Coturnix japonica: one gene and its partner. The protein of the gene in region 1 binds, or shares a complex with, the protein of each later gene. Links are inferred from orthologs where the notes say so. Each region holds a gene or a part of one and is shown on either strand. Other genes may lie near its edges. The genes, in order: PAXIP1 and histone H2A.

The links.
Region 2: the proteins of PAXIP1 (region 1) and histone H2A are in contact, whole or in part, in a crystal structure (PDB 3SQD), measured with the Homo sapiens proteins. The link is inferred for Coturnix japonica from reciprocal best matches to the Homo sapiens genes PAXIP1 and H2AX. Residues at the interface, in NP_031375.3 of Homo sapiens: Phe871, Thr872, Gly873, Phe874, Pro876, Lys907, Thr909, Arg910, Thr911, Val912, Lys913, Pro986, Glu1050, Leu1053; in NP_002096.1 of Homo sapiens: Gln138, Ser140, Gln141, Glu142, Tyr143.

The regions. Positions count from the first base shown.
Region 1 is NC_029517.1:6,804,496-6,820,111, forward strand, and holds the end of PAXIP1 (PAX-interacting protein 1), read right to left. Parts: intron 14,304-15,616; coding exon 13,589-14,303; intron 12,889-13,588; coding exon 12,794-12,888; intron 11,854-12,793; coding exon 11,758-11,853; intron 11,222-11,757; coding exon 11,084-11,221; intron 10,397-11,083; coding exon 10,275-10,396; intron 9,753-10,274; coding exon 9,568-9,752; intron 9,446-9,567; coding exon 9,402-9,445; intron 8,664-9,401; coding exon 8,596-8,663; intron 8,212-8,595; coding exon 8,109-8,211; intron 6,022-8,108; coding exon 5,853-6,021; intron 4,655-5,852; coding exon 4,554-4,654; intron 3,883-4,553; coding exon 3,748-3,882; intron 3,665-3,747; coding exon 3,589-3,664; intron 3,076-3,588; coding exon 3,015-3,075; intron 2,566-3,014; coding exon 2,550-2,565; 3' UTR 555-2,549; downstream 1-554.
Region 2 is NC_029539.1:18,580-33,502, reverse strand, and holds histone H2A, read right to left. Parts: upstream 7,757-14,923; 5' UTR 7,475-7,756; coding exon 7,046-7,474; 3' UTR 6,751-7,045; downstream 1-6,750. Other genes in the region: HMBS (porphobilinogen deaminase), read left to right, coding at 33-105, 608-657, 772-827, 1,438-1,515, 1,799-1,876, 2,408-2,483, 3,115-3,228, 3,342-3,380 and 4 more; DPAGT1 (UDP-N-acetylglucosamine--dolichyl-phosphate N-acetylglucosaminephosphotransferase), read right to left, coding at 8,343-8,408, 9,312-9,467, 9,822-9,909, 10,564-10,752, 11,009-11,093, 11,233-11,379, 11,942-12,155, 12,429-12,821; phospholipid transfer protein C2CD2L, read left to right, coding at 13,466-13,711, 14,113-14,208, 14,669-14,788. UniProt on the Homo sapiens protein: Variant histone H2A which replaces conventional H2A in a subset of nucleosomes. Nucleosomes wrap and compact DNA into chromatin, limiting DNA accessibility to the cellular machineries which require DNA as a template.

The DNA of each region.
Region 1 (15,616 bases):
CCACTCATGTTTCCCACAGGGTTCATTTGTTCCATGATTGCATTTGCTTTTCTTCAAGCAATGCAGTATCTGACAGCATTTTGGATAGTTCTCATACAAAGGAAATTTACCTTTCAGATGCTATTGCATTCACACATCTCTTAACTAGAATAGTCTTTGGCAAAGGTGTTATGTACCCTCAGCACTGCTTGGTTATGGAAAATGTGGAGGCTAATCCTAACAAAGGTGAGAACCATTACCAGGAGCTAAAGGAATAACTGAGTCTAACAGCCAAGACAGAAACCTCTAACACATTCAAATCTGGTTTCTTTCTACCTCTCCTCCCCTCCATAAAAAGCTTCCTTCTCCAAGGGCTGCCTTAGTAGGTCTTGCTATCTTCCAGACCTTGGTGGTATGAAATCCTGTCTTGTGTTTGATTCCATGCACGGTTAAATGGTGACACCTACTCTACACGTGCCGCTGTTTGAAATAAGGCCCTACACTTCGTAAGGCAATCCATCATCTGCAAGATATACACAAGATATACTGAATCCTTGATAAGTAGGAAGTATTTATTTGAGGTAAGAAGCGTTTGCGTATCACAGCATTTTTAAAAGTTCAAAAGCTACAACAGCTGTTTTCTAAAGGAAAAGGCACCAAGAAACGTTCTGCATGCTGGTAACTAGTATAATGAATAAAGCCTTAAGCCATACAGAGAGTAGCACAGATTTGCTTTGGTTCACTATTTCACATTCAGAAACGTATCTGAATTAAAAAAAAAAAAACAACATACCATTTTCTCCATTAAGAGATGTGCTCTTTTCACAGGTCTTTACATCAGGTTTTAGAGCTATGCTCCCCCTCCACTGACAGGGAAGGGAGGACATACCAGGTAGGTCTGTCTGCCTGAACAACTTAAAGCCATTAAGAAAACCCATTAACCAAAAAATAACTCCTTTTACTATTATTATTTTTTACTATTGCTTCTAAGCAATAAATGGCATTTGGGGAAAAGTGCTATTTTCTCCCATCCCATATCATACTTTTAGTCTCTGAAGTCACTTATTTTGTTCAGCCCAGAGAGGAGGTGGCTGAATTTTGTCAGCCTAACCAAAGGTCAGGCTGGCAGAAATTGCTCTTATCACCATGTAACTCCTTACTACTTAGAAAACAAATGGTGAATACAAGGATAAATCACAGTAGCTGAGGAACCCAGAGCCAGCACTAACAGGCAAGAAGCACAGTACTGACCTCTATGGGACTTCACTCATCTTGAAATTTACTCTGTGTTCTTACAGCTTGAATTTGTCATTTGCTTAAGCATCTTGTTGAACTGAGGCATAGGGGGAAAAAAAGGCAACAGAAATAGTGGTCAAATATCAGGTGGATTTAAATTCTAAGCCATAGCACAAACGAGATTTGAAATTAATAACTTCTCTGCAGTCAGCTTTGCAGAAGCTAAAAATAGCTGCTTACCTCCCTTTAAGGCAACAGTGAAAAACCTTCCCTGTATTACAGTTCTGCATAGAAATACAAAGTGTTAGAAGAAACAGCGTGATAAGCAATTGTTTTAAGTAAGCTTTATCTCCTAAGTCTTGGATTGTTCTTAGAATGGCTCACAAGCTGCTATGACACACCCAGCACTATGCAGACAAGTGAATATCTGCACTATCCCACTAGAGTTTAATGGGCTTGCTGATCAAATAAATGTTTTTAGGACAATTTCCTTCTACCAGAATCAGAACTAAAAAACATCAGATTTATTTAGAACTGTGTGTGAGTCAGGAAGAACAACTGAATATACATTTTTAATATTTATTTAGTAAAACTCACTATACAAACAAAGCTTATCACAACAGCACACTATGTGGGGTTATAGTTTCTCCTTCCTTCAAGCTTTTCTTTTTCAGTAAAAACTCATCTATAAATTTTTAACAATTTCCCCTTTAAAGCATTGGGTTTTTTATATATTAAAACATACCTGATAAAAATAAGTTCAAAATAAGTTTACATTGCTTGGAAAAAGATTTGAGTAATTTACTCTTACCAGAGTGCCACTGTTGCACAGTATTCAAAAAAATGAACCACCACTAAAATATAGAGTAAAACATTTAAAAGTACATTTATTTAAAATGTGGGCAAAATATCAATATAAAAGAAAATAGAGTATAAGAAATAAAAATAAAGTACAAAACATTTTCATCTTCAACATCCATAATTTAATAGACAGCAAGCCCTTTTATTTTTACACCCAAATTACACTTTTGGCTGAAGTACCATCATTAACGTTAAAATGTTTAAAAACTGGCTAACTGTGATACCTAAAGGGGGATCTTTTAAAACGGGAGTATAATACAAAACATAGTAAATTATGTTTCCTCATAATAAAATTACACATCCTAAAAATGATGCAGTTTATTTTTGCTTCCCTGCTTTAAACTGCTCTTCATCCCTAGGCAAACAGCTGGAAAACAGCATCCACAGGAAGTTTTAGTTACTTTGTACAATGGCTGAATAGTTAGATTTAATGCTCCATGGGCTCCGAAGCACTAAGGCAGTTTACTATTCCTTCAAGTAAATTTATATGTACGTGTGTTAAGAAAGAACAACTTTTAAGAAATGACTGTAAAACAGAACTTTGACAAGTATAAAACACACCCATAAAGATACAGTACCCTTTACCTGGTCCTATAATGCACTTATCAAACAAAGATTATAATCTTCCTTACTAAAACCTAATTGTCAACTACAAATTACCCATGCAGATACTTTCCTTACTGACACTTATTTTCCATGGTTGCTTAATATTCTACTATTGATGCTTTCTGAGAACCCTGCACCCCATCTCCACTAAGGTATTTTCTATTAAAAAGTAACCCCAGTTGGAGTTTAAACTAGGTTTCCGGGTGTTAAGCTGTGCTCTTATCAAGTAAACACTGCACAGCCTATAAAAACTTAGAACTTAGTTAGTCCCTAATTAAGAAAAACTTTTGTTTTCCTTAGGCAGCTGATAGCCCGCACACAAAAAAGGATATGATTCATAATCCAGTGTTTGAGTAAGTACTCCAGTCAGGACAAATTCAGCATTGTGGACATCTGGAAATATCAGAAACATGCATACAGTTAAACTCTTACAAAGACGCTTCTTCCGCAGGCTCATCAGGAGGAGCCATTCAGTACCTTTCTGCTCTTCATGCAAAGGCAAAAGGGAATATGGCCCCATCACTACCAGCACCCTACTTTTAGCCACACACTTTATACTACAGATACTACCTTCAGAACGTATGGTTTACTGATAAACATGGCATGTCTTTAAGCTCTAAACTGAAAACCTCCAATCTTTAACTTGACAATCATGCATCACACAGGACTGCAACCCCACGTTCAATATTACTCTAGCAGAGATTTGTGGTGACCTGGCTAGAAAATATGCATATTAGAAATACCTAGGAATCAGCTGGCTCAGACTTCTCCATGACCTGTGGGACTGACCACATACCCCTCTACTACCATCTGACATCTTCAACAGGTATCTGTACTTGCATTAATTTTTACTGTTATTATTTTACATCTTTATTGTTCAAATCACAATGATACGTTTATACATACCTATGCCTCTAGCAAAATATTCTCTACACAGGTGAAGGTCATTTTCACAGGAAATCAAGATTATCTCCGGCAAACTCTAAAGGAAAGAAAGCAATTGTAAGCTCAGAACAACATGATAAGATATTACCAGTAAATTTTAGAAGGCAACACTGTACACACTTTATTCTGTTTATGCTCCATGAGTTTTCGAAACGAAGGTTGTTTAGATAACACTTTTCCTCCTGCGCATTCCACAATAGCTTTCATGGTAGAAAGACTGGGACAAATTCCAGGTGTAATGTAAAAATACTTTCCCTACAAAGAGAAAAAAAGGAGCAACAAGAAATGTTATTTTGTTAACTTATGTTTGCAATATATTCGTGCTTCTTTATGGATGAACTTTAATGCAATCATTGGCTGCCCGTAAACAGCTTACAGTGGCCTAAAGCAACAAATCCAACAGCTAATGAGTTGTCTTTAATTACTGCTCATTTGCTTTCCCTAGAGGGGCAAACCTGTAATTTTTTTTAAATTTTAATAGCTTAAATATTCCTCTTCCAACACCTTCCAAATAACAACCAGAAAACCTTATATTACCACTTCTTGAAGGAAAAAACCCAAATAACTGCAATTTGTTTAGAACAACACTGCTTGCTTCGTCAAGTACAAGCATGCCCAGGGGGTTCCTAAAACCTGAGTAACTTTTAATTAAAGCTTTCGTTTTTTAAATAAATATAACTATACATTAATTACATATATTACTTCCCGGTAAAAATCATCCAGCAACTTGATTGGGTCTGATACAGATGAACAGATCACCAAGTAGATCAAGTTTGTTTATCAGCTAGGACTGAAAAACTGATTGAAATGTACTATTCAGATTTAATAATGCTTACTCGGTACAGGTTGTAAAAATACACTTTTTAGGTAGTTTGTCTCTTTGAAAAGCTCCAAGTGTTTTAAATGTTGTTCTCAAAACTGCCTACCTTGAACAGCGGAGCTACTTGTGCTCTCTTCAGGGACTCCTCCAAACTGAAGCAGAAAAGCACCTCAGCTTCAGCATCCCTCAGCACGAAGTTCTGCTCGTCTGAAAGAGTAACAAATACAGGAAAGACTGCAACACCATCATAACTTAAAATCTAACCCAATGAGAAAACATTAGTGGCTGAGTGACTCTAAATGCTAAAACAGTAATTTTAATGTGATTATAGTACCCCTTTATTAGGATGACACACAATTATTTGGAGAATAAAACAGCTCCACACTTCCTTATCTAGCAACATACACTGTTACACAGACTCCTCCACTTGCCCAAAAACTGTCTTCAAGCTCTCATACAGCCCTAAAAGAAAAACCTTTCCATCTACTTCCCCTCTTTATCCTGTTATTCAGCTGATTGTTTTTAATTGTCTTTCTTAAGTTTGGGATGGTATTTCAATCTTACCTTCACCACTCTACAAAGCCATGTTAAGCGTATTTCAAAATCAGATTTAATTCAACACAATCGAGTTCAAAGAGCAAAAACAATTGAATATTAAGAAAAAACTGGTCTTCCCAGGGACAGCTTTGACAACCTGCAATTCTTTGCCACATTCTCCATCATTATGTTATGTACAGAAGTAAAGGCAACCCACAAATGAACTACATTTCAGTAAACAAGTACTACATCAAAACAGTCATCCTTTTAAATCCCCAGACCTTATTTATCCTCTAATAGCTTTCAAATGGACTGATTTCTCAGTTCTCTGACACTGAATCCAGAAAGTTGCTGTCTTCAGATTAATACAAATGTTTGCTAATTTACTGGTTAGTTATTCACAGATTTAAATCTTTGTGATCGAGGTAGCAATGTTACATGCTTGCTCCTTCCAACCAAATTACATGAAAAGCATTAAACAATAATAAAGCAAATAACCAGCCTTTTAAATCTTCAGATCCAGCATCCTTTTCAAATAAACTGTTTTGTTATTTACAGATGTCAGTCCTGTGACAGCTTTAATCATACCAACATAACCTTCTACCTTAATCGAAATACAAACAATTTACTAGTCTAACAGATTTAAACTTAGCACGTAATCCTCTGTGAGTTCTGAACTACGATGGTCAGACTTGCTATAAACTTAAAAACCTCAGCATTCAAAATGGAAACCTACAGAGAATCTTCAAGAGACATTAAAACTCAAAATCTCACAAAGAAAGGGTTTTTAAAGCATGAAGGCCATCTTCACACACTAAAATCAAACAACCTTAGGTTTATAATACGAACTGATCGCAGCTTAGCTTACCAACAAACTTCTGGCATTTGAAACACTCTTCTAACCAGTCTGGAGTTACGATGTGCTTGACTACAGATATTGCAGTCAGGAACTTGACAGTGCGGGTCACTTTACTGGCAATTAGGTGGGTGCATTTCTGGGCAGATTCTGCTACTTCACCCCCAAGAATATACAGTTTCTGAAAGTTGTAAAAGAAATACAAATCAGAATGGAACAGTTGTTACCAATTGGAAAGAACAGAATATGGAATCATAACGTTGCCATCAAACAAAACTAAGTTCTTCATGAAACAGAAAATGTAAGAGGTTTCTGTATTGTAGGAATTCATTTACTAAGGGTGATTAATGAACAGAATTTACAGCTATGGAAGATCCAGCTATTCTCAGATATTAATTACATCTATCTAAAATGAGAGCTATGTGGTACTGCTTTACTTTTTATACAAGATAAATAATCAACAGATACAAGTTAATTTTGTGGGGGTTTTTATGGGCTGAAAATGTAATGATTTTGCTCTTTTCCTCTACAAAATGTATGACATTCACTGCAGTTTTGGTAAACCTAACTTTGCTACTCTTATTCATAGAGGACAAAATTTCCTTGCATGAAAGCCACATATATTTTACATGCATCTGTTTCTTATATATTTTAGATGATACTGAATAACTACCACTTTTTTTACTAAGTCTGAATTACCAAACCCAAACTACCTCATCAGAGTTGACATCTCAGCTAAGATGCACATGATTTTTAAGCATTAAAATTGAACATAAGAGGGTGATTTTATTACATCAGACATCAGATGTTAACAAAGCAAGAAGGCTCACTGCATGCATTAGAAGCCCTGAAATATGTCTGGCATCCCTCTGTACTGCTCTGATAGTAACAAACAAGTTAGACAGGGACAATGTTTTAAGCTTTTCCTTACTGTGCTGGCTTGTTTTGACAGCTTACATCAAGATGATACAAAAAAGTATTATCCAATACACTGCATCTCTCTACTGCTAAACTCCTCTGAGATATGCAAAAACACACTGTGAATACTAAAGTTGTACACACTGAAATGTACAAGCTGTTGTTTTCATCCATAATATATATTCACCTCAAACACTGTATACCTGTGAGTACCTTACAAGATTTGCATTCTGATTTCAAGGATCCGTTTGGGCGTATAGGAAAAAAAAGACAATCTCCAGTTCAAGAAGATGGGAGGTATCTTGCCTCAGGAAGGTATTCAAACACTGACACTTTTAATGGTATTATCCCTGCAACATTTGGTTTCAACATTACAAGCCTTGAGGCCAAAAATTTATTTGATGTATTTGTGAGCCATAGCTCTAATGAACATTCTTCATACAGTCAACTTGGTATCAGCATGACAGAATGGGGAGAAGACAATGGAACTTGAGCTAGATAAACTGAAAAATTATTTATGTTTCAAAGTTCTATCAAGCTTCAAATAAAAATACCATAATGGAAAAAAAACTCAAAATTCCAACTACATGATCATACCTAAAGTATTTTTCAAGAAGAAAATAGGTTATTTGGGGTATGCTTAAGTGACATGTACTTCTAAGAAACAGAGAATCAAACTAGTCTTCATTTGCTTTGGCTTATCTGGAGCAGGTGAAAGCAACAAGATGTTTCACGCCCTACTGGGGTCAGCAGTTAAAAAAAAAAAACAAATCACCACCTCTGTGTCTCAAATTTCAGCCAACGTGTGACAAATCACAAATGAAAAACTATTTTTGAACTAATACTTAGTGATTGTTAAAGTTCAAGGAATGATTGGATTTTTACATCATTCAGTTTTGGGAGCTATTTAAGAAAGATCTGAACAAAACTTTGGAACATATGATCTCAAGTGTGCCATTAGTTCTCCTATCAGCTTCCTCTGAAGCATGTGAGATTATATGAGAAGTAGTCTGGGTCCTATCTAGTACAGTAATCACTACCTTCCTCACCAAAGTTTGGTTGTGAAGTTTGCTGATTAAAACAAACAACAGAAAAACAACAACAAAACATCACAAAACATGAAAGGGCCTCGTCTTTTAAAACAACCATAGTGAAGAAGAAGGTAGCAGAAAAGCATGAAGTAAACTAAAGCAGGAAAATTATCAAACAAAACTGATTTCACATAAATCTACATTCTGATTTCACTTGCAGTATCAGTTTTTATTCAAAAAAAAGCAGGCTAATCAAGTCTTAGAAAACAAGAACACAAGTGCTTCCACATAGTTTACAAGAGGTAAATGCAAAAGTCACCTTAATGTACTGTTGAACTTGCATAGGTTCAAATCCTGTGAAGAGCACCATTGGCGTCAACTCTGGTGTAAGCTTTTTAGTAGGCGGTGGTAGGTCTTCAATCCTACAAAACGCATGAAATACAGCACAATGTAAGTCCGAGTGAAACACTGTCTTACTTTAAAAACAGACAAGCACACTCCTGCAAATTTTAGGAATGAAAATACAAAGATGAATGAGAATCAGGCAGGATCAATCTTCTAGATAAAAAAAAATTGTTATGCTGAGAACAGAGCATTTTCTCCTGATTCTGCTCTCTCCCAGTTCTCTTCCTATTCTGCTCTTTAGTTACTATTCTATTTCAGCCTGTTGAATAGCTGGCAATATGCAAAAAAAAAAATGCTACTAGTTATTTCAATTAGCAGGGCATGGCATGGAACCAGAATGCTGAGCAGTTCACAGTTACAAGGTACAGTAGTGAGGGACTATCGGCACTGATTGTTCTTACCTGGCTCTTTTGGAAGATGGCTGAAGACTGGATTCATTTTGCTTTGGTTTCAAAGGCAACCTCACACCCTGAAAAAAGACCATCTGTATGTTTACACCTGAACTGAGCAGGGAGCCCAACTTCTATTCTGAAACAGGAGAACTGTACAGCAGCATTCTGAGATCATACTTCAAACACAGAAATGATAAAGACATGCTAGAGAAGGCATTAAACACACAAACTCCTTAAAAGAAAATTAAGATTCCTAATGGACTATAATACCAATTCACAGGGGACTGCAAGTGTAAGACTGTTTTGAAGCTAAAGTCACAGTAAGAGACACAGAAATAGTGGCTACTTTTAAAGCTGAAATGTAGTAAGTCAACAAATTATACTAATACTTTAAATTGGATCTGGGTACTAATTAAGTTATTACAATTATTAAGCACCTGTCTTTAGGAAAGTATACAGATGGACTGAGGTATGCAAAAGGCTAGATCGAAGCATTTTTGTGTAATATAAAATGTTATTGTGTTAGATATTGACTCCAAAATACAAAGCCTCTTCTAAAGGTCTTATGTAAAAGCAAAGAGTTAAGAACTAGGCCACGATATTTCCAAAGTAATTTTGTATAATACGCTGCAGTTTCTTAGTTCCACAAAAGATTATTTTTAAGATTTATGCTAACAGACAACTAAAAGCAAGTGCCACCAAGACAGTTTGTGTGGGTTCTTCAGGCAGGTCTCCTCACACTAAATGCACACGTGCTCAGATGTGAAAAACACTATGCAGCAATCTAACACAAACAGCTGTATAACTAAACATACCATTAGAAGTTCTGGTGATACCTTTAATGGGACTCTCCAAGCATCTACAAAACGAAGAACACCACAGAAGTGCACAATTATTTATGGTAAGGATAAAGATGCTTCTCTTGATTAAACAGGTTTATATAAACAAATGCTACAGATCATAGAATTCTGGGACACTTACCCAGCAGGTTTAGAACTAGATGTTGACTAGGAGAAAGTGGATCTTGAAGACTGAACACTGTATATCGACTGTGCTGTATCTGCCGTAAAGCTTCAAAATTTCCCAGCAGTATGTCACAAAGCCACTGTGCATTTACACATGGTATTCTCCATTCTTTGGCTTTCTCATACTTCAAGCCACTGGGTCTTATCATTCAGAGATGAAGAAAAAAGGTTTTAATAAAACAGATACATAGCATTTATACTTATAGACTTAAATATCAGTATTTCTTTGTTGGCCAGTTATCTATTTTAATAATAAAGCAGGCAAAAATACTTTTGCTCTACATGTTAAAACAAGCAATATCAATTAGCAGAGAACTTCTGCCTCCCAAACACAGTTTTCCCTCCTCCAGCACTTAAAAACAATTATTCCACCCTCCCCTCCCAACCCCAACGTAATTTACTTACTGACAACAGTTAAGATCACTTGCAAAATAATCGAAAACAGCACACAAGAAATGACTTTCCTTTTGCCAGTTTTTAAGCCAAATTTAAAATAGAAGCACACAGCAATTATCTTCAAGAAGCACCATCAATAAGTTTAATGCTTTCCAATCACGAAAATAATTAAACATTCTTAGATGTGATCAGTACTTCACAATTAGAAACACATTAAGTGGTAAGAAGCAACTGAGGATGTGAGCACTTTGGAGATAAACCACTTACTCTTTACAGATGAGAACTGTGTTGCTGCGACATAGATAGCCTGTGTATTTGGCACCTGCTAGGTACGCCATCAGTTTGAGGTCATCTCTGTCACTATCAACAAATCCTGTCACAGAGATTATCTACATACAGACAGAAAGACAGAAATAAATGAAAGTAGAAGGTACTTATGAAACATCCCTGTTGAAAGTATTTCTATTTTAATAACTTTTTAAACGTATTAATGAAACATACATCTTAACTATGGTATGCAGGCACTTAAATATGGCTTGTTGCATACATAACATACAATTAAAAACCAATCTGTTTATACATATAAATTACAGGCTTCTTACCTTTGTTATCATTAGATAATAACCAAATATAACTTTTTACCCACTTTCCTTACACTTAGTCGTATCAAGTTTTCATTTTTTGCCATTCTTTCTTTATACTTAAGAAATTGCCAATTTTGTTTTAAAAGCAGCATAAAATGTTAGATGCACTGTCTCTGAAGACGTAAGAGGTTTGGATTCCTGTCATGTCGCTATGAATAACTCACATTACCTTTGTACCTTTCCTCCTTCTAAGAGAAGCCTCAAACATCGGTGTTAAATATTTAGCTCTCAGAGTTCAGCAAGATGTGCAGAGCACTCTGGATCATATGGTAGTATACCCCCTATCAACATAAGACTAAGATTATGATAAGTTTTTACTGATACGACAAAAGAAACGTGCATTTTGCTTTGACTAAGCACTTTCTAGCTACAATTTAATAAAGCTCGTGTAATGAAGCGAGCATTCTTTAGAGGTAAGCTTTTCCTTCTTACATGCTGAGAGCATGGCTTTCCTCCTGGTGGAAACGCCACTGGAAAATGAAGGGCTCGATGAGGTGGCACCATCTTCTTCTTCTTCAAGATTGAGTTCAGCCAGTGTGCAGTAATACACCTCTTCCTTTCTCTAAGTGCCTATGAAGATATGCATAAACAAAAGTTGAAATACATCTTCATTTCATTTCAGACTTTTTCTACAATATAAATCTTCTATTTCAGTGACTGTTTTTCTGAGCATTTTCATGACCCTGTTTCTCACAGAACCTTACTTAGTGCTATCTGAAATAAACTACCACACACATTATTAAAGCCTGTCATGTTACAAATAAGAAATGATTTAGAGAGGTGGGAGGGGGGGCGTGGAATTAAATAAAAGAGTGTATCATGGCAAGGGAGACTTTTATTTTACACTTAAAGCATTAAGTACATACTGAAAACGCCCCACCTTTTCATTAAGGGAATAAAAGCAGGCATTTCAGGCTGTCCAGAGAGGCTGTGGATGCTCCATCCCCAGAGGCATTCAGGGCCAGGTTAGATAGGATTCTGGGCAGCCTGATCTAGTGGGTGGCAACCCTGCCCACAGCACAAGGGCTGGAATCTGATGATATTTAAAGTCCCTTGCAACCCACACCTAGCAATGACTTAGTAATACAGGTTACTAATTTGCTTACCTGAGCATACATGTTACTGACTTGACTTTCACACAGAAGATGTGTACATCTGCTTGTAAGCGTAGGGTCCACAGTCCCACCATGCGTTTGAATGATCTGGGGAAACAACAAAACAAGAAGTTACCAAACAGTTTTAAAGTTATGCTAAGAAACAAACAGTCTGAAATGAGGTCTAGTGTTTAGGAGATTGAAATATTTCACTGAAGAGTTATCCCTCCTCCCCCCAAAAGGCTTGTTATCTAGTTTCAGAGCTTCCAGGGGGGAAAAAAAAAAGGAAAAAACAAAATTAAATATGTACCTTTTCAATGAACTTTAAAAAGTTTAACTTTATAAGATGAAAAAAATATATATGTAAACAAAAATAATCTCATTTTTTATTTTTGCAATATAACTATTAAGCAATTTTTTCACGAACTATTCAATTCTATCTCAGCAATAAACACAAGTGCTGTTAAAAACGTCAACAGCTTACTTGATTATGCAAAATTGTTGGGAAAATTCAATTATAAAATCCATCAGAAGTTTCTGAAGAACATCAAAGTCCTCTCATTTAGGAAAGGATACAATCAGATTTTTCTGAAAAATAGAAGTTGGCAAAAAATAGAAACACTATTCCTTTATCTTATTCACCCAGGTGGATACCTCATAGCCTACTAAGTGCCAAAATTATATGCAAAAAAAATTATTCAATTAAGTCAGAGTGCAATACTATATTACATTTGCACTATATTACATTAACTGCACTACAGTTGTCTAATTAAAAGCATAAACAGCTGGGAAACAGTTAATGCTCTAAATTAGCTAACGCTGTGAGTAAAAACCCAATTCAGTCAAACTCCACATGTAAAGCATTTATTACTTTTTTTGGTCTGCTGTAGTAGAATGATATTCATTTAAGTTAGAACATAAACATTAAACAAAATGATATCTAAATAAAAGTGCACAGAGCCAAAATATTTCCAGTTATTCCTTTAAGGATTCAGTTACTATGAGAGCAAGGTTATGACAGTTCTTTGGAAATACAGTAGAATCTTACCCGTTTCCAGGTTGCTAACAGCTGTTTATCAGACATCTGTTCTGGGTAATCAGCAATTGCAAAGACACAACCCAGCAGGAAATAATCTTCTGGAACTGGAATAGTTTGGCACATAAAAGAAGAGACAATTAAATACTTAGAAGTCTGCAGAGTTCATCTCAGAACACATTCACTACATTAATCTTCACTATTACCAAGTTAGAAACTGAATTCAACTCTGAAGTAAAGTCTTGTAGAAAAAGCAGGATGCAAAAATGAATGCTGAGAGGAATATACAGATCATCTATGATCAAAACAATTAAAGAGCTTTCAGTTCCATTGGCATGAACAGAATTCAAAGCCAGATGTAACAATTTTTTATATGATGCTGACTCCCCATTAGTTTGGAGCCAGCATTTCCAAAATTTAAGCTACCTTTCCAGTTGTTACCCTCTTTGAAAGCTTCTCCATTCCCCTCTTTCAACTGAAGGACATTACAATATGCACAGGCCAATGTTGCTCTCACAGCATAATTTATATACTTCATGCCACAGATACTTCTATACTTCATTGCATAGATTTGAAAATAAGAAGTTTTCAGGACTCTCATGCTTTTCAGGTTTCTGGACATTGTTATAATTTAAATGTCAGCATGACAATTATTAAAACAGGTCCTGAGCCATGAACAGAGTTTAAGTATTACATTGCCATATTGCAAACACAGAGCTGTTTTTAGTTGTTGTTTCAATATTCTAACCCAAATACCATCATGCCATTAACCATTTCTTTCCAGAACCAGAAGGTAATGTTACTAACTCTCTACTGACGGATCATGTCCAAAGAGTGGCTGCTGCTGCAGTTGTGTCTGCTGCTGCTGATGGTGCTGCTGCTGCTGGGCTACAGCTTGATGCTGTAGTGCTTGAGATGTCTGAGTTAAGTGCTGCGTTGCCTGATTCTGCATTTGCTGTTGCTGATGCTGTTGGTGTAATCTCTGTAAGTGCTGCTGTTGTAACTGTTGCTGCTGAATTTGTTGCTGCTGATGCTGTAGCTGCTGTTGCTGGAGGTTCTGTTGCTGGAGCTGCTGCAACTGTTGCTGCTGTAGCTGCTGCTGCTGCAACTGATGAAGTTGCTGTTGCAAAGCATGCTGCTGTTGGAACTGAAGCTGCTGCTGAGGACGGTGGAGCTGCTGTTGAGCATGTAACTGCTGCTGAGGAAACTGAAGCTGCTGCTGTGCAAACTGGTGCTGCTGATGAACTTGTTGCTGTTGCGAAAATTGATGAGTCTGTTGCTGCTGGAAAGACTGCTGGGATATCTGGGGTTGCTGCTGCTGCTGCAACTGCATAAGTTGCTGAGGTTGAAGATGTAAAAGAGGATGGTGCTGTTGCTGCTGTGCTTGATGTGTCTGCTGCAATAAATGTGTCTCTGGTGTTAGTTTCACTTGACTAAACAGCACCGCGTTTGGATGTCCCTGTTGACTATGATTTACTTGCTGTTCTAAACTTTTTGTAGGTGCTGAAAGTGATTGTAATATCTAGAAAACAAAGATTAGTTTTGTGATCTTTTTGTTGTCATTCAGTTTTTAAAGTATATAAACAACTACTGGGAAAAAGCTCTCTTAACAGAATCTTATACTTAAATACATACTAAGCTCAAGAAATAACCTTAAGTGCTAATAGTTTTCCCAAAGTAAAAAGACTTACACGCAGAGAAATGGATATTCTTGATAATATGCATTATGACGGTTAATTAGGTATCAGTAATTATACTCATCAGCTCGACCAACTGTAATACTCGATTTACAACCCCTTTGGCCCATTAAGTTCAAAGTTGAGCTCCATAGATTTTCTTTTACTTCAAAATCATTAATAAAGCTGCCATTAATTAGTGCTGTTTGAAACATGGGAGTTTAATGCAAGCCTTTGTTCTCAAATATATTCAGCTACATTTTAAAAGATGTGTCCCAAAATAAGAAAGAAAAACATGGATTTTCTCAGCACTAATAGTTCTTGAGAGAAAAAAGATACTCAGTTGATACAAAGTACTGAAGTAATTTGGAATTTCATTTTTAGATCTATAATTAACAGAGCAGAAACAAGTTAGCAAGAGGAAACGTTAGCAATGAGAAATCTGGGCAAATTCCTACTAAAGTCAGCTATTAAAAACCAGAAGGCAGGTTCTGAGTATCGCCAGAGAAGGAGGAAGCTTGTTCCTGCATTCTGCCACCCCTACAGTAAAGAAATCCTGGAGGGAGACTTAACCTAGATGGAGGATAATTTAACCAAGCCAAAGGGAAGTTCTATGCCAGAGGGTCAGATTAAGAGAGATAGGTAGATACCAGAGGGATCTGCCTTCCATGAGGCAGTTTCACAACTCTCAAAAGCAAAGATTTCCTCCAAGTACTGGAGCTAGCACCTTAACTCATACAGCAGCCAAGCATGGTACCTGAAAACAGCTCTTGTACATCACAGTCCTTGCACAGAACAACTGAATCACATCACCAACTGCCTTGTGTCTGCATAAGCATTAGTTGTGCAAAAACACTGATGTGAGGCCACTAAAGAGTATTTTATATAGTACAATGACCCTGCTGTAGACAACATTGTAATTAGACATGAAAGAACTGACCACCCTATCAAAATTTTGGCTACTCTGCTCATTACTTACCCAGAAATCTCACTCCTTCAGCAGTTCAAGGCACTAAAAGGAGGAATTTGAGTTTTACAAGGAAGCCAGCACTTCCTTCTCATACAGGCAACAAAGAACCAATGTTTCTGAGTGCCTCCCCCTCCTGTGTTTCCTTTGAGTACCACCTATAATGTTGTACATTATCCAGGGCCTTTGAAA
Region 2 (14,923 bases), on another chromosome or scaffold:
GTGCGCAGTGCTTTGTTTTGGTTTCATTGCAGCTGGCCCGAATTCAGACTGACAGTGTGGTTGAGATGCTCCAGGAGTTTTACCCTGACCTCCGCTTTGAGATCAGTAAGTGGTGTTTGATTTCTCCGCTCCTGTTGCTGCTCTGATGTAGTGGCAGTAGGAGCCAGGCAGTTATTGTTGTGTGCAAGGTGTGTGAATAGAGTCAAGAGGAGGAGAATTTTCCTCATGTTATCTAGGCAGAGCGGTCTGAATTCGATTAGGTTGCATGGCTGAGCAGCTGCTGCTGCTATTTTCCAATGGAGAATGATTGATTAGACAAGCTCCTGTTGACTGGGACCTTTATCTGTCATACAGATGATGTTACATTGCTCGGTTTGAGAATCTGGGCAATGTCTTTAGAGTTGGCTGTTCCCAAAACCTGCCTTCTCTGCTTTTGTGTTGTTTGAGATGTAAAAGAAGTCTCAATTTCACTTCCAACATAACCTTAGAAGTGAGCTGAATCTGTCTGGAGGCTGTTTGCACAGTGTGGCAGTGTGTTCTGCTCGTTGGGTGTGAAGGAGATTCAGTGTGCTCTGACCGTGCCTTCTGCTTTGTGTCCTCTGAGCAGTTGCCATGTCCACAATAGGAGACAAGATCTTGGACACAGCCCTTTCTAAGGTAAAGGATTTATTTCAGGTGGGAATTAATTAAAAATACACAAAGAACTAATAGTATTTGATGATATACTTGCAGATTTTCTTCATTGATTTGTATTTCTTTATTTACTTGTAGATTGGGGAGAAAAACCTCTTTACCAAAGAGCTGGAAAATGCACTTGAAAGAAATGAGTAAGAGCTCAGTTTTATTACTTGTCTGGATTTTTATTATTATTATTATTATTATTATTATTATTGTTATATGCTGTAAGGGTGATCTGTTTCTTTCTGTTCTTTCTGAGTAAGGAAGAAATCCTCTGATACAACATATTTCTCTTTTTTTTTCTTCTTTTTTTCCTTTAACTCCGTACCCTGATTTAGGCCCCGTTTTGGAGTCGTACTGTTCTGACTCTTAGTCTGCCCTGTTTTTTTGTGTTTTCTCCTCTGATTTGTGTTACTTGTGTCTCAGAGCTCGTGTAATCTAATCCATGCTTGCAAACGCGTTCTTTATTGTACTACTTTGTTACTGTATTTCAGTGTTCCATGTTAGCACACTGCGTAGCATATTTACTGCTTATTAGTGTTTTCCATACTAGAAAAGGTAGAGAAAAGTGACGTGGCTCTTTAGAATTGCTGTGTAAGTCTGGTAGTAATTCTGGCTATGGAGTTCTGAATGTTCTTTCTCTTTTCTAAACTAATCTCAAGAATGAATCTGCACTTTCCTGTTGTTACCTGTAGGTCTCTGGCACTGCATCACCCAACCATCTGCTCAGTGTTGTGATTACTGTTCTCTAATTCATAGAGTTGACCTGGTAGTTCACTCCTTGAAGGACCTGCCAACTTCTCTTCCTCCTGGCTTTACCATTGGTGCTATTTGCAAGTAAGTATGTGCACAAAGCCTGACTGCCTGAGGGACTTAACGTTTTGCAGTGTGGATAATGATAGAAAATGACGGCTTAGATTTTCTTTGTTGTTTGACCTTTGACTATTCTCTGAAACAGCAGGAGAACCAGTGTTCTGTAGCCAGCAGGTTTGTTGAAAATCCTTGCTGTTAAAAAAGGAGAAGCCTTTTGGAGCTAGGGATGGTTCCTTTGGGGACTGATACCTGTAAATAGCCTTCTGTTAAATGATGTCTGTCATTTTCCTCTTCCCTTCTTTTGCAGAAGAGAGAACCCACTTGATGCTGTTGTCTTTCATCCCAAAAACTGTGGGAAAACGCTCAGTCTTCTTCCTGAAAAGAGGTGAGTAGGGATAAGGGGAAGACAGTAAAGTGTAATAAATAAATAAATAGAAAGGAGGGATTCGTTCATATTTCCCAGTGACGAATCAGTGAGCTTCTTCCTTTATTCTGTAGTGGTTTTTGTGCTGCCTTCAGCTGGTTTTCAATGTACATTACAGTGAACCTGCTTGCTGAAGAGAGCTATGCTAATGAGAATGTTGTAAACTGAGTTTGGATGTCTTTAACCACCTTTGAGATGTATTACTTTCTTAAGTGAGACCCTTCCTTGCTTCAGTCTCCAGAGTGAATATCAGGTCCTTCATGTAGTGCTCATTACAGGAGGATGCATACAGTGCAGGCAGTGTGTTCAGAGCAGCATTCTAGCCTGCATGTCCATTCTCTTGTTCTCACCCAGCTGGTGGGTTCTTGGAGCTTTGTTTCTATCCTAGTGGGGTTGGAGGAGCAGAAATCTTTCTTGAAACTTCTGACATATATTCGAGTGAAGTTAAGTTCTGCTGTATTCTGGATTTCATTGATTTAATTTTCCCAACAGTGTTATTGGAACCAGTTCACTTCGGCGAGCGGCCCAGCTCAAAAAGAAGTTTCCTCAGCTGGAATTCAGGGATATCGTATCCTTTAATGGTAAAGTGTGGAATCTGGACAAAGTTGATTTATACTACCTGTCCGGCCAGAACAACTTCCTCAAAGGCTGCCTCTTGTAACCTATCCTGTAGTGTGTTTTGTTCTGTTGTTTTCTCATGATTCTACAAAGAAACAGCCCAGCTTTAATCTATCTGCGATTCAAGGTGCTGATGCGTTTCATGTTCAGGAATGTTCTAAAGGCTGCTTAGTGGAGGTCAGTTTGTGTTTGTCAAAGTGGCAGCCAAATGCTGATTGGTCCATGATACCTTTAATGTGTTTTGGACTGCTAGTTTAGATGTGTGCCGCTAAAGTGGTGCTGGTAAAACACATTATTACCTCAGTCCTAGTAACCCAGTTCTTTGATCTGCAAAAATATTTGATGTCAGATACAAATGATGCACTTAAATGGCACGTATTTTTTGAGAGTGCTTACTTGTATCAATATTTCATAATAATCAGCAGAATTCTATTCAAAGAAACAATTGTCCATATTTAGCACTTTCAGAATGATTCCACAACTGATTCTTATCTGGAGGTTTTAAGCACGGTTAAGTGAATGCGAAGTGATTGTACAACTGTTTGCATACTGTTTCTCTACTTACTTAACCACTTGTACAGAGAGGGAATTTAAACACCCGCTTGAAGAAGCTAGATGAGAAGGAAGACTTCAGTGCTATAATCCTGGCTGCTGCAGGGCTGAAGAGGATGGGCTGGGAGAATCGCATTGGTCAGGTGAGAGTCAAAGTAGGAAATCCCATCACCTGCTTGACTTTCACACTTGCGCCTTCTTTCTTTTTGTTTTAAATAGTGCGACATGACTTAACTTTGTTTTTACTTTCTTCCAGCTCCTGAGCCCTGAGGACTGTCTGTATGCTGTGGGACAGGTACGTTCCAATTTTTCTATGTTAAGCCTGACTGCAGTGTGATGTGTCACGTGGTGAACATGACAACCAAATGCCTCTGATCTGTTTGTTGCCAAAGAAGAATTACAGTGATTTGTGTTGCAGCCTGTTAGTCTGCTTATGTTCAGTGTGTGTGAGGAACATTAAGTCAGCTCCACGAGCCTGTGTGTAACAGGTTTGATATCTGTCAACCACAGAAATAGTCGGTGGTACAGGTAATGTGTGGTGCAGCTGCCCTGGGACAACTCTGCAATTACGAGGCAGGCCGGTGTTGTGCTCTGCTGGGCTCACTGTAGAAAGGCACTGCAGTGTGGGTGCTGTGACACTCCCTTACATGCAGTGTCCTTACTCTGGCAACTGGAACTGAAGCATCTGCCTTGAGGCGTGTTGTTAGCATTCTTGTTTCTAGGTGGATTGTTCCAGCCTGTGCTGGTCATGTGGCTGAATTTACACAGTGTTGCGTAATTGGTATCAACTTTGCTAAACTGAGCTGGCGATGCATTTCTTAGTGCAATCATTATTGTAATGTAATGCAGTTATTTCCCAGACTGGATGAATTCCTGATTGGTGAACAGCTGTTGCTGTGTTACTTAGAGGTTGGAAACAGTGAGCAGTGACACCTATAGAGTTATCCTGTGACAATACTGAAGGTAGTCACCAGATGAAAGTGGAAAGTGAGCCAGAAATAGTGTTGGTTTTAATCATGTCCTTGTCGTGTACAAAGCTTTTTTCTTTTGTTTTCTGTTTGGGAACAAATCGGTTTGTGGTTGCTGTTATCTTTGGACGAGGCTGTAGAACTTACTTTTATTCAACTTATGCTGTTGTGACAGCAGATCAGGTGTTTGTATCTGTGTAGTCACAAGAGGGAAGCTGAGCTAATAGATGTCAGGTGACTGATCTTCAGTACTCATCTAAGTTCTGAGCTTCCCTTTACAGCAGTTGCCTCAGGATATCTTGGAACTAGTTGTTTCTTGAATGATTTTTGTAAAGTCTCTGAACTTAAACACTGCTCCCTCAGTGAAACACATCCAAACTTCTGAGTTGTGTTTCGTGACCAGTGCTGGGTGCACACAGATGCTGAAGTTGAGGAGTTCTGCTGTTACTGTTGTCTTGCAGGGGGCTTTAGCGGTGGAGGTTCGTGCCAAAGACCAAGAGACACTGAATATGGTATCAACCCTACACGATGGAGAGACTGTTTTGTGCTGCATTGCTGAGAGGGCTTTCATGAAACGTTTGGTACGTGTGTCATCCTTGCCCTTCTACTTGCAGCAGCAAATACTGCTCTGCTGCAGTTAAGCTGATGGCGTGGTGTGGGAAGGCTGTTACACTTTTATATTAAAACTGCCGAGTAGGGAGAACTTGTGAAGTGCTTGAACAGCAATAGCTGGGGCTGTGTGCAGAACATACATTTCTGAGGCCTCTGCTTTGTATGTGCTGAGGAAACTCAGTAGCAATGTCTTTCTGTTTGCAGGAGGGTGGCTGTAGTGTCCCTGTTGCAGTGAACACCATGCTGAAAGATGGCCAGGTGAGGAATCTTTGTGTGTGTATCTGGGGTTATTTATGGAAAACTTTCTGTGTGTATGTTCTCTGATGTTCGGTTCAGCAGATGTCTTTACAACTGAGCAGGGCAGATAGGGATATTGTTCAAAGCAGGAGAATGAGAATGGGTCTGAGAATGAGAGGCTGAGTCCTAGAAAACACCCTTATTGTGATAGATTCTTATTTTCCTTTTCCACCCCCCCCTTTTTCTAAAATCTCCTGAGATCTCAGACTCTTCCTTTTGACTCCAGTGAATTTATACAGCAGATTATGAACTAAGTAGGTAGAAAGCTAGAAAGTATTGAGGTTCTTTCTTGGGAAGATGTGTCTTCCCTAGCAGGGGTTATTTGCATTGTATCAGACTGCCGTTCTATCTGATGGGACTGGACTGCAGAAGTGTTCCCTTCTGGGTTGGTTTTGTGCTATTAACCTCTTCTGTCTTTCAAAGTTATATTTGACAGGTGCAGTCTACAGTTTGGATGGATCTGAAAGCCTGAAGGAAACAATGCAGACCAGCGTTAATTATCCACAACAGGTATGCAAATCATGTTGGACTTCAAATTCAAAGAGGTGATGGAGGCCTAGAGTATTTGTTATGAGGAAAGACATGGAGACCTGGGGCTGTTCAGCCTGGAGAAGAAAGGCTGGGAGGGATCTTAGCAATGCTTGTTAATACTTAAAGGATGGAAGTCAAGCAGTTGAGGCCAGGCTTTTTTTGGTGGCACAGAGCGGTAGGAGAAGGGACAGTGGGCACAAACTGAACACCGAAAGTTCCATACAGACATAAGGAAAAACATGTCTTGGAGGGTGACATACAGTTCGCCCAGAGAGGTGAAGGAAAGTCTCCTTTGCTGGAGATATTTGAAACGTTCCCGGATGGTTTCCCGTTCAGTCTGCTGCAGGGAGCCTGCGTTCAGGGGAGTCAGACTGGTTGATCTCCTGAGGTCCCTTATAGCCCCTGTGCATCTATATCAATTATGAGATATCTGGTTTCATGCATTGTTTTAATTTATTTATTATTGCCCATTCCTTCCCACAGCCTTACTTTGATGTTTGTACTTGCAGAATGAAGATGGACCAAATGATGATGTGCAGCATGTTGGCATCACAGCCAAGAACGTCCCTGCTCAGGCCCAGGAAGCTGCAGAGAACCTTGGCATTGAACTGGCTGATTTACTGCTGAGCAAGGGAGCCAAGCACATCCTTTGTGTGGCACGGCAGCTGAATGACGCCTGCTGAGCCTCTGTGAGATCAGCAAGATTGCTGCAGCTCTTGCTCCAGTCTTTGCAGCTACTTACCAGCTTTTGGAGGAAGCGTTTTTAACACTTGCACCAGCCTTGTCTGACATTTGGGCATAAAATACTTGAAGTACTAAATTGGAGTTTTGCTTTTCTAAGTTTACCTGAGTTGTAAAATCTCTGTGAAACGCGTTTAAAGGGTTTTGTTGCGAGGAGAGATGTAGTAGCAATTGTTCTCCAATTGCATTTAGTAACAAAGCACCAAATACAGGTTATAGTCAGACTAAACAGGGGCAGTGCTGGAGTGCTGCACTGTGCTGACAGCACAGAAGTGTTTTCTGCTAAACTAGTGAAATTGTGGATATTTGGCCCTGGTATCTTCAGGAATGCTGAAGGAGATCAGCATTAGGTTCCCAGTGCAACTACATAGATGTAGAATGAGGACAGGCATTGATATACAGTAACTGGCAATCTTTGTGCTGAAGCATAAGAAATTTGCCTCTAGTTCATGGTTGAACCATCGTGTTGCACTGCCATGTTGCAGTGCCTTACAGAAACATCAGAATAACCCATTGTTGGGTTCCGGTTTTGGAGCTGAAGCATCGTTTATTTCCTGTGCAATGTCTGCTGAATGCAGCAGTCACGTTGTGAGCACCAGGTGTCTTTAGGAAGAGCATCACGTATCTGCATTATGTGACTGCACTGCAGTATCACGCCGTGCCTCCCGCCCGCTCCCATCGCAGCTCCCCCTCGTTCCCGCAGCCCCCGGCCGTCCCTTCCCTCGGATCGCAGCTCTCCCGGTGAGCAATGGAGCGGCCCTGAAAAGGGCCTTTGTGTGCTGGTGGGGGAAGGGGAGCCCGGCCCGGCGGCCTAGTATTCCTGCGACTGCTGCCCGCCGCCCTTCTTGCCGGCCTTGGCCGGGCTGGCGGCGCCTCCCGCCTTCTTGGGCAGCAGCACGGCCTGGATGTTGGGCAGGACGCCGCCCTGCGCGATGGTGACGCCGCCCAGCAGCTTGTTGAGCTCCTCGTCGTTGCGCACCGCCAGCTGCAGGTGGCGCGGGATGATGCGCGTCTTCTTGTTGTCGCGGGCCGCGTTGCCCGCCAGCTCCAGGATCTCGGCCGTCAGGTACTCCAGCACGGCCGCCAGGTACACCGGGGCGCCGGCGCCGACCCGCTCCGCGTAATGGCCGCGCCGCAGCAGCCGGTGGACGCGCCCGACGGGGAACTGCAGCCCGGCCCGGGAGGAACGGGACTTGGCCTTCGCTCGGGCCTTACCGCCACTCTTACCGCGGCCAGACATGGCGCCTCGCAGGGACCGGACACACAACGCGGATCTGCGGAGCTCTGCGGCGGGACAAGGGGAACGCGCCTCCGCCCCGGCGCTTTATAACCTCCCTCAAGGCAGGGCCGCGCTGATTGGACGGCGCCACAGCGCCTCGCTATTGGAGCTCTGCCGCCTGAACCTCTTTGCTGACTGGCTGGCTTGGCGCTCACCTCCCACCTATTGGCGGCGGCGACGGACCAATCAGAAGACAAGGCGCCAAATTCGTACCACGCGGCGGACGTTGGCGCTCACGGCCGGGTACGGTGAGGGGGCGGGGCCACGTGAGCGGGGGGCGGGGCGAAGCGCCGGCAGGGGGCGGGGCCATGTCACAGCGCACGTCAATGTCCGCAAGGCAGAACCGAAGATGGCAATGTACCTCGAGTTCTTTTATTCTCAGAACGCCCTGAGTACAGGTACGATTACAGCACGTCATTCTGCATCCATGGACTCATTCATGAGCCAACAGGGCAATTCCAGCTCACTTGTTCTGCCGTACAGCCTCACAGACGCTGCAGTTCTTATTTCTTCTCTCAAGGAACAGCAACATGTTTCTTACATTTAGACGTTCCATTTCTCCTGCTTTCCCTAAGGACTCTGTACAGATTCGTGTTGCTTATTTCCCATCTGAAAGGTGTTCCCGGTAGCAAGGACATGCAAGCAGTGCTGACTGTCAGCAGAACAGGACAGAGACGCTTTGTCCATAAGAAGAGAACTGTGATTCTAGGCCGGCCTGGAGCAGTTCCTCGTGTTTTGAAAGGTGGCTTCAAGTTTTCAGATCAAAATATCAGATGAATTGAATTGTTTTAGTACAGTTCACTGGAAGGTGCCGCTCCTGGAAGCTCAGTCAGACATCATAAAATAAGCGCACCAGCTGGTACCGCACTGAAAATGCAATCATGCTGCCCAGGACCTAGGATTAAAAACAGACAAATAAATCACAGTAATAACCAACCTGAATCTGAAACCTTACATCAGACAGTTCACTGGTCAGCAGGTTCTTCCTTTACAGATGGATTTGATGTGCTTTAATACACGGCCTGTTCACTATGTAGCACTGTGACCTGACTCAAGACCAAGCTGTATGCGCTTCCTATTCCCTTCTGCCAAAGATGTACTTGGCCCGAGCCCCGCTCTCTCTGTTGGAAGTCTTCTGTTGGAAGGGGAATTTAAGTGCTTTTTCCTAAGGAGAAACTCTTACCTTTGAACTGACACTGAAGAAGGAATTGTAGGCAATTAAGCTACGTCTTTTCTGAAACAAAACATCTACCAGGTAAGAGTTCACGCATTGAGTAGGAGTAGCAGCACTATCTGCAAGGTATGTTCTTGCATTCTGAGTTGCTTCAAAATGTTCCCACACCACACTCAAACTCCAGCTACCACTGAGTTGCATGCCACACTTACGTAAGGGCACCAGCTGGAGATAACACCGGTACTACTGTTATTTGGTATGACTGAAACACAGAACTGCAATAAAAGGCTGTGCTGTGTTAGAGTGACAAGGCAAGAACACAGTGCTGTTTTTCCAGCTGTTCTTCTAGCATCCAGGCACTCATGCTCTGAGGAGTTTCTCAAGCTAATCTAGGGCCTTAAAATTTAATAGCTCGTAGTTAAGGAAGCTGGGGACTGAAAGAAAGGACAGCTTCTTCCTGGAGCCGTGTAAACCTCAGACTCTCAAGTTGCACAACCTTAATTGCATCTTGCGTAAAGTGTGTGACACTTCCCATCCCCCTTTCCCCTAGATATTCTTGAGACAAATCTGGGTCTACTTCTATCACAGAATATGTTTCTTTGCTACCAGGAACGTTTGTCTGACCTGAATGAGCAGCAACAGGAGAGTGAGATTTCGTTCGTGGATGGGTCCAATCAGCTTTATAACAAAGTTAATAAGCGTCATATTATTGCACTCGGAGTATTCACCATCTTCATCCATTCCACTCCTCACATCTACTATGTGCAAGATCTTTACTACCTGGGGAAAAAAATATTGCATGCCATTTGCCATTTCATCAGGTATGTTTGGTGCTTCTTGCTAGATCCATTTTGTTGTACCATTCCAGTAGTTTGGCTTGGACTCTTACAAAAGAAACAGGATAGGCTTATGATGGTCTTAGGACAATTGCTGCAAGTGGTTGTTTTAGAAGAGTAATTATGAAGATGTAGTTAACATAGTGACTGCAAGAGACAGTGACTGAGCTAATTATAATGTGTTCTTCTCGATTTGAGCCAGGAAATAACCACTGAACCCAGAAGTTCTGCCTTCCCTCCTATCCTGCTGCTCCTGCCTCAAAACATGCCTAGTTTTGGAATGTTTTCCTGCTATTACCTTCAGAATGTATGTTCCCAGGGTTGAGAGGCTCTTAGTTTTGAATTTGGAGTAGCTCATCTCCAACTTCCCTGTTGTAGCATTGAGCCTAAAAGGAACGATAAAGTCTTAGTCAGGAAAGAGCAAAGAGACAGTGATCCCTACGTAAATAGATTTATATCTCAAGCCAAGTTGCTGAGAAAGAAATACACTGGTGAAGAAAGTAATGATATTCTGATATTGTATAGGAGCAGCTGCTCACACCTTGGTCCCTCAGACTGGGCAGTCAATAAAAGATTCCTCTCCTCTTCTACCTAACACATGCATAAAGCTGCAAGGTTAGAAGAACTGAATATATCTAGACATAATTAAAATCAGTGATAATACACAGTGATGCAGAATGCTTGCTACTGTAAGATCTTAGCAAATCCTAATGCAACAGCAGTAAGAACGGCCTGTATCCATTTATCTCAGTCTTGTAGCTGAGAATAATCATACTCTTAACAGTATGTATATGTATTCTTTTCTAGTACATATTACAGTATGTAAAATGTATTCTTTTCTAGTACATTTATTTGAGAAACTTGTGCTGATAGATTCAACCATAAATAGCGTGGCTGGCCAACTTTTAACCATCCAACCTACTTTGATTATATTAAATTAGATTAAAAAACTAGATATTAAAAAGAGCACCAACCAACGTATATTATTGTTTCTCAGCTGGCATAAACTAGTACCATTATAGATCTCTCAGGTACATTACCTTGGCAGTCGGTGGCGGGGACAAGGAATAATGTGGAAGAGTTGAGGCAATGAGTAGAGGAAGTTAAGCACTTGTGGGATGAAAAAAAGGAGCATTGTTTTGCTGAAGTGGCCCAGGATCCCCACCACAGCAAAGGTCATGCCAGCAAAGTAACAGAAGGTGTCCCCAACAAACACTTGGGATGGGTACCTGCAATCCACAAGGCAAAAGAGAAAAGGTCTGTCATAATCAGTGCTGCCAGTATAATTGGCTTCATGACCACCTGAAGACATTTCCTAATGGCAAGGTTGGTGCATGAAAGATACCAGTGGATTGCTGCTTTGCATTCTTAGTTCTAGCAAGAAGCCTGTCTATACCCCAGTATATTGCTTACATGTTGATGTTTTTGTTTGCAAAGGGAAAAAGAATATGCTTCCAAAGGAATGCTGAATGTTCATCCTCTTACCAGTTGTGGTAAAACAGCCCCAGCGTTGTAAAAAAAAACGGAATCATAATGTAGAGAGAGAAAATGTGATCATCCTGATAATCCCCTACAGGAGAAAAAGGAAAAAAAATTAAAAAAACCCGAGGCTCTGATGAGACAGGACTAGGTTCTTTTTAACTACGCCAACTACTGAAATCTGGGTTTTTATTTCCATTTGCTTTTTGCACTCCCAAGCATTACCTTACCGTTTAACTCTACAAGGTTGAATACGATAATGGAAGCAGCAATCACCAGAGACTGCCCTGCTTCAATCCCATTAATTCCAGCGAGAATGTTGATGGCATTAGTACAAAACACTGCTAGCATGCCCATGTACACATAGTAGAGGATACCTGCAGGTCAGAACGAGGCAAGTACTTTAGCATTCATTTTTGAAACAGGCTGTGGTCCAATTTACTGAAATTGTAGTTTCCTGTTTTGTAGGACAATCCATTATATAGTGTCTCAGTAAGCTACTGATTTCAAAATGTACTAGCAAACAGTTCCTTCTCCTGTACATGTTATCGTATGTACACGTGTACAGCACAGTGACTGCAGCAAATGTGCAACACAGCAGCAAACCGTGGCGATGCTGCTATTGGCATCTGAGGGCCAAGGGCCTTTGGCACTCTCATACTGCCAGAAACCTGGGAAAAGTCATGGTACTTATCTATGCCTAGCTAAATCCAGCATATATATATATATATATATCCAGCATATATATGCTGGACGTCTTGCTGGATCTCTGGATGGCTAATCTTGCCAGTATGATATTTAGTTGGTGATGTTCCCTCTCAATGAATAATTAACAAATCTTCCACAGGTTCCTTCTGCAGCATAGAGACTGACAAGTGTTAAAGTTTGAGATGTGCTCCTTAATTCATTGCTAACGACCATCAGTCAGTCAGCGCTTACCCAAGTCCAAGTGCATGCCCAGAAACGCCCGGAAAGGCTTAGGCACCACAATGGTTGTGTTCCCAAAGTTGGTGAAGTACACCATGAGCAGTGGGAGGGATGCCATGGTGGGGAGAAGGAGTTTGTGACGCCAGCGCAGGTTCAACACATCGTCTGCAAAGCCCAGGAAGATCATGCAGCAGATGGCAAGGAGCGAGCCAATGAGCTCCACAAACTGCGGGACAGAGAACGGGGCTCCGGTCACTAACGGGCATTCCCTGCTGCCGCGCTGCAGGCACACGGGAGCCCTACCTCGTCGTGAGGAAAGGCCGCGCACTGCTCCTCTACGAAGCACCGCAGGAAGGGCACGGGGATGAAGCAGAAGAGGATGATGAGGAACACGGCCCCGCTGATCATGCCCTGCGCCTCGGGGCTGCAAGGAAGGGGAGGCCAGCGGTCAGCCGGGACGTGGCGGGCCGGGCCGGGCCCGGCGGGCACCGCTACTCACATGGGCCGCCGGGAGACTTTGTTCAGGTCCTCGCCGAAGAGGCGCGCCGCCAAGAAATGCTCTTTGAAGGCCGGGATCAGCGTGAGCGTGGCCACGAAACCCAGCAGCGACCCCCCGACGTTGATGAGGAGCGGCGCGGCGGGACACGCCGCCATGGCCGCGCTGGGCGCTGCCCCGACGGGCGCGGAGCGGCTCCGGGCGGGTCCGGGCGGCCGGATGCTGGAGCGGAACGGACCGGATACGCGCGCGCCTTTTCCGTTCGGTCCGTGAGGGCGGCGCCATCTTTGGCCCTGGCAGCCGCCGCTCCTCCCGTTCCGCCGTCACACGGCGCTTCCTCCTTCCTCCCCGCACCCTGAAATAAAGAAACAAATCCGCGTTCGTTTGGGCCTTCATGAGGCGCTGTGGGGGGAAAAACAAGTGTTGGGGAGAAAATAAAGAAATAAAGAAATAAACACACGTTAGTTTGGCTCTTCCTGAGCCAGAAAACCCTTCCCAGGTGTGTTTGTGTGGAAAATGGCACCGTGCAGGTGTGAGACAGCGGGCTGCAGCCGGGAGATGAGCGGGGCGCGGGTGTGTGTGTCAGCACAGGTGGAAGAGGGCCGGGCTCATCCGACAGCCCAGCCCTGCCGCACTCTCCGCCTCACTCCCTGCCGCACTCTCCGCCTCACTCTACTCTCTGCCTCGCTCCGGACAGCGCCGAGGCTGTCTGGACATAAATGCTGGTGGCTGCAGACCCGCAGACCCGAACGGAAGCGGAGCGCAGCGGCACAGCGCCGTCCCGCCAAGGCCGCGGGGAGGCGTCGCTCCGGCACCGGAAGAACCGGGGCGGCCGCCCTCCTTCGTGCCGCGGGTCGCGGTGCCGCTGCGCGTTGCCGGCGCGCGGCGCCGCCGGGCCGGGCTCGGGCCACGTGCACCGCGGCATCGGGCCCGGGGCGGCCCTGCGCTCCGTGTGACCGGACAGGAGGCTGTAACCGCTGGGCCGGGCAGCGGCCGCCCGCCATGCCTCCCGGGCTGCCGTGAGGGCAACGCGCAGCAACATGGGGCCGGATCCGGGCTGGGCCGTGCTGGTGCTGCTCTTCGCCGCTTCGCTGCTCACCGTCGCGGCCTGGCTGCTCCAGTACTGGCGGTCGGCGGCTCTGCGATCGTCGCGGCGGCGGGTGCCGGTGACGGAGGAGGCCGGGGCCCGGGCGCTGCTCGCCGCGCTGCTCTCTCTCCGGTCCCTGCGGGAGCAGTGGCAGCGGGCCTGGGTGCGAGCCCTCAACGGCCAGGCGCGCCGGCACGGGGTACGGCGGGGTGCGGCGGGGGCCGGTGAACTGAGGGCCGGGCGGGGCCGGGGGCGTTGTGCAGCCGAGGGGGATTGCGTCGGATTCGGTCGGCGCCGTCCCCCCTTTGCGGGCTTTGAGGAAGGCAGAGACCTCGCCAAGCGCTTGTCAGGGGCTGTATAGTCTGCACTGAACTGTCCGGAGCAAGCGCTCGGTGTGCTGCGTGTTTGTGAGCCTGAACCAGAGATAGGGTTTCTTTACTCTGGACAAGCCAGAATTGCAGTGTGGTCGTGTTTGTGTGCTGGTTGGATTCATGGAATTGGACTAGAACGTCTCTGGGGTCCCATGTTAGACTTGCCCATCCTCTCTAAATCTGCCTGAGATACCCTGTCCGCTGGGAGCTAACAGAGTTCTCTTTGTAGAGTTCAGTCCAGATCACATTTGAAGAGGGTCCTCAGTTGCCACCAGCAGCAAATATAAGTGGTGTGACGTGCAAGGGCCAGTCGGGCCACAGCATGGTAAGGCTTTGTTATTCTGAATTGTGTCATGTGGGGTTTCTCTGCAGTCAGTCTTGTATGGGGATTGTTGATGTCCATGTCGTGGAAGTGGTAAACCCGGGGGAAAGTCGTGGGCTGGGTCCATAGTTTGATTCAGAGATTGCAGCTTGGACTATACATTGGTGAGCTCTGTGAGAGCAGTGGATGAGATCCATCTGATAAAGCCTAACGTAAGGATGCTGAGCCTGAGTATCAGGGCACTGTGTTGCAGGGAAGAGATCTCCTTTGTCACTGATAGTTCCTTGTTGGCTCACGTATGGAGTTTTAAATGGCATACTTAGAGAGCAGAACTGGGGCTGGCAGCTTGATGTTTCTGTCTTGCCTCAGTAGGTTAACCTTGCTTGTTGCTTTTACAGATTTTTCCATCTCCAATCTGTGTCTCAGCAAGGATAAAAAATTATTGATTTCCTTTTCTCTGTAGGTGCTGTGTTGTCATCTGTCAGCTGAAGCTGTGAAATTCCCTGTCTCTGTAACCCAGCAGTCTGCAGTTGCTGTTTCTGTGGACACGTATCATGTCACTTTGGCTCTGCTGCAGGCTGAGGTAATAGTTGTAAAAAGTTGGTTGGTTTGCTTGTTCAGAAAAAGAATCTGAAATTGCAATGGCTGGTGACTCCACAGTTGCTTTCAGGTTGGATTTGCTTCTCCAGAATTTCATTCTTCTCTCAAGTAGAATTAA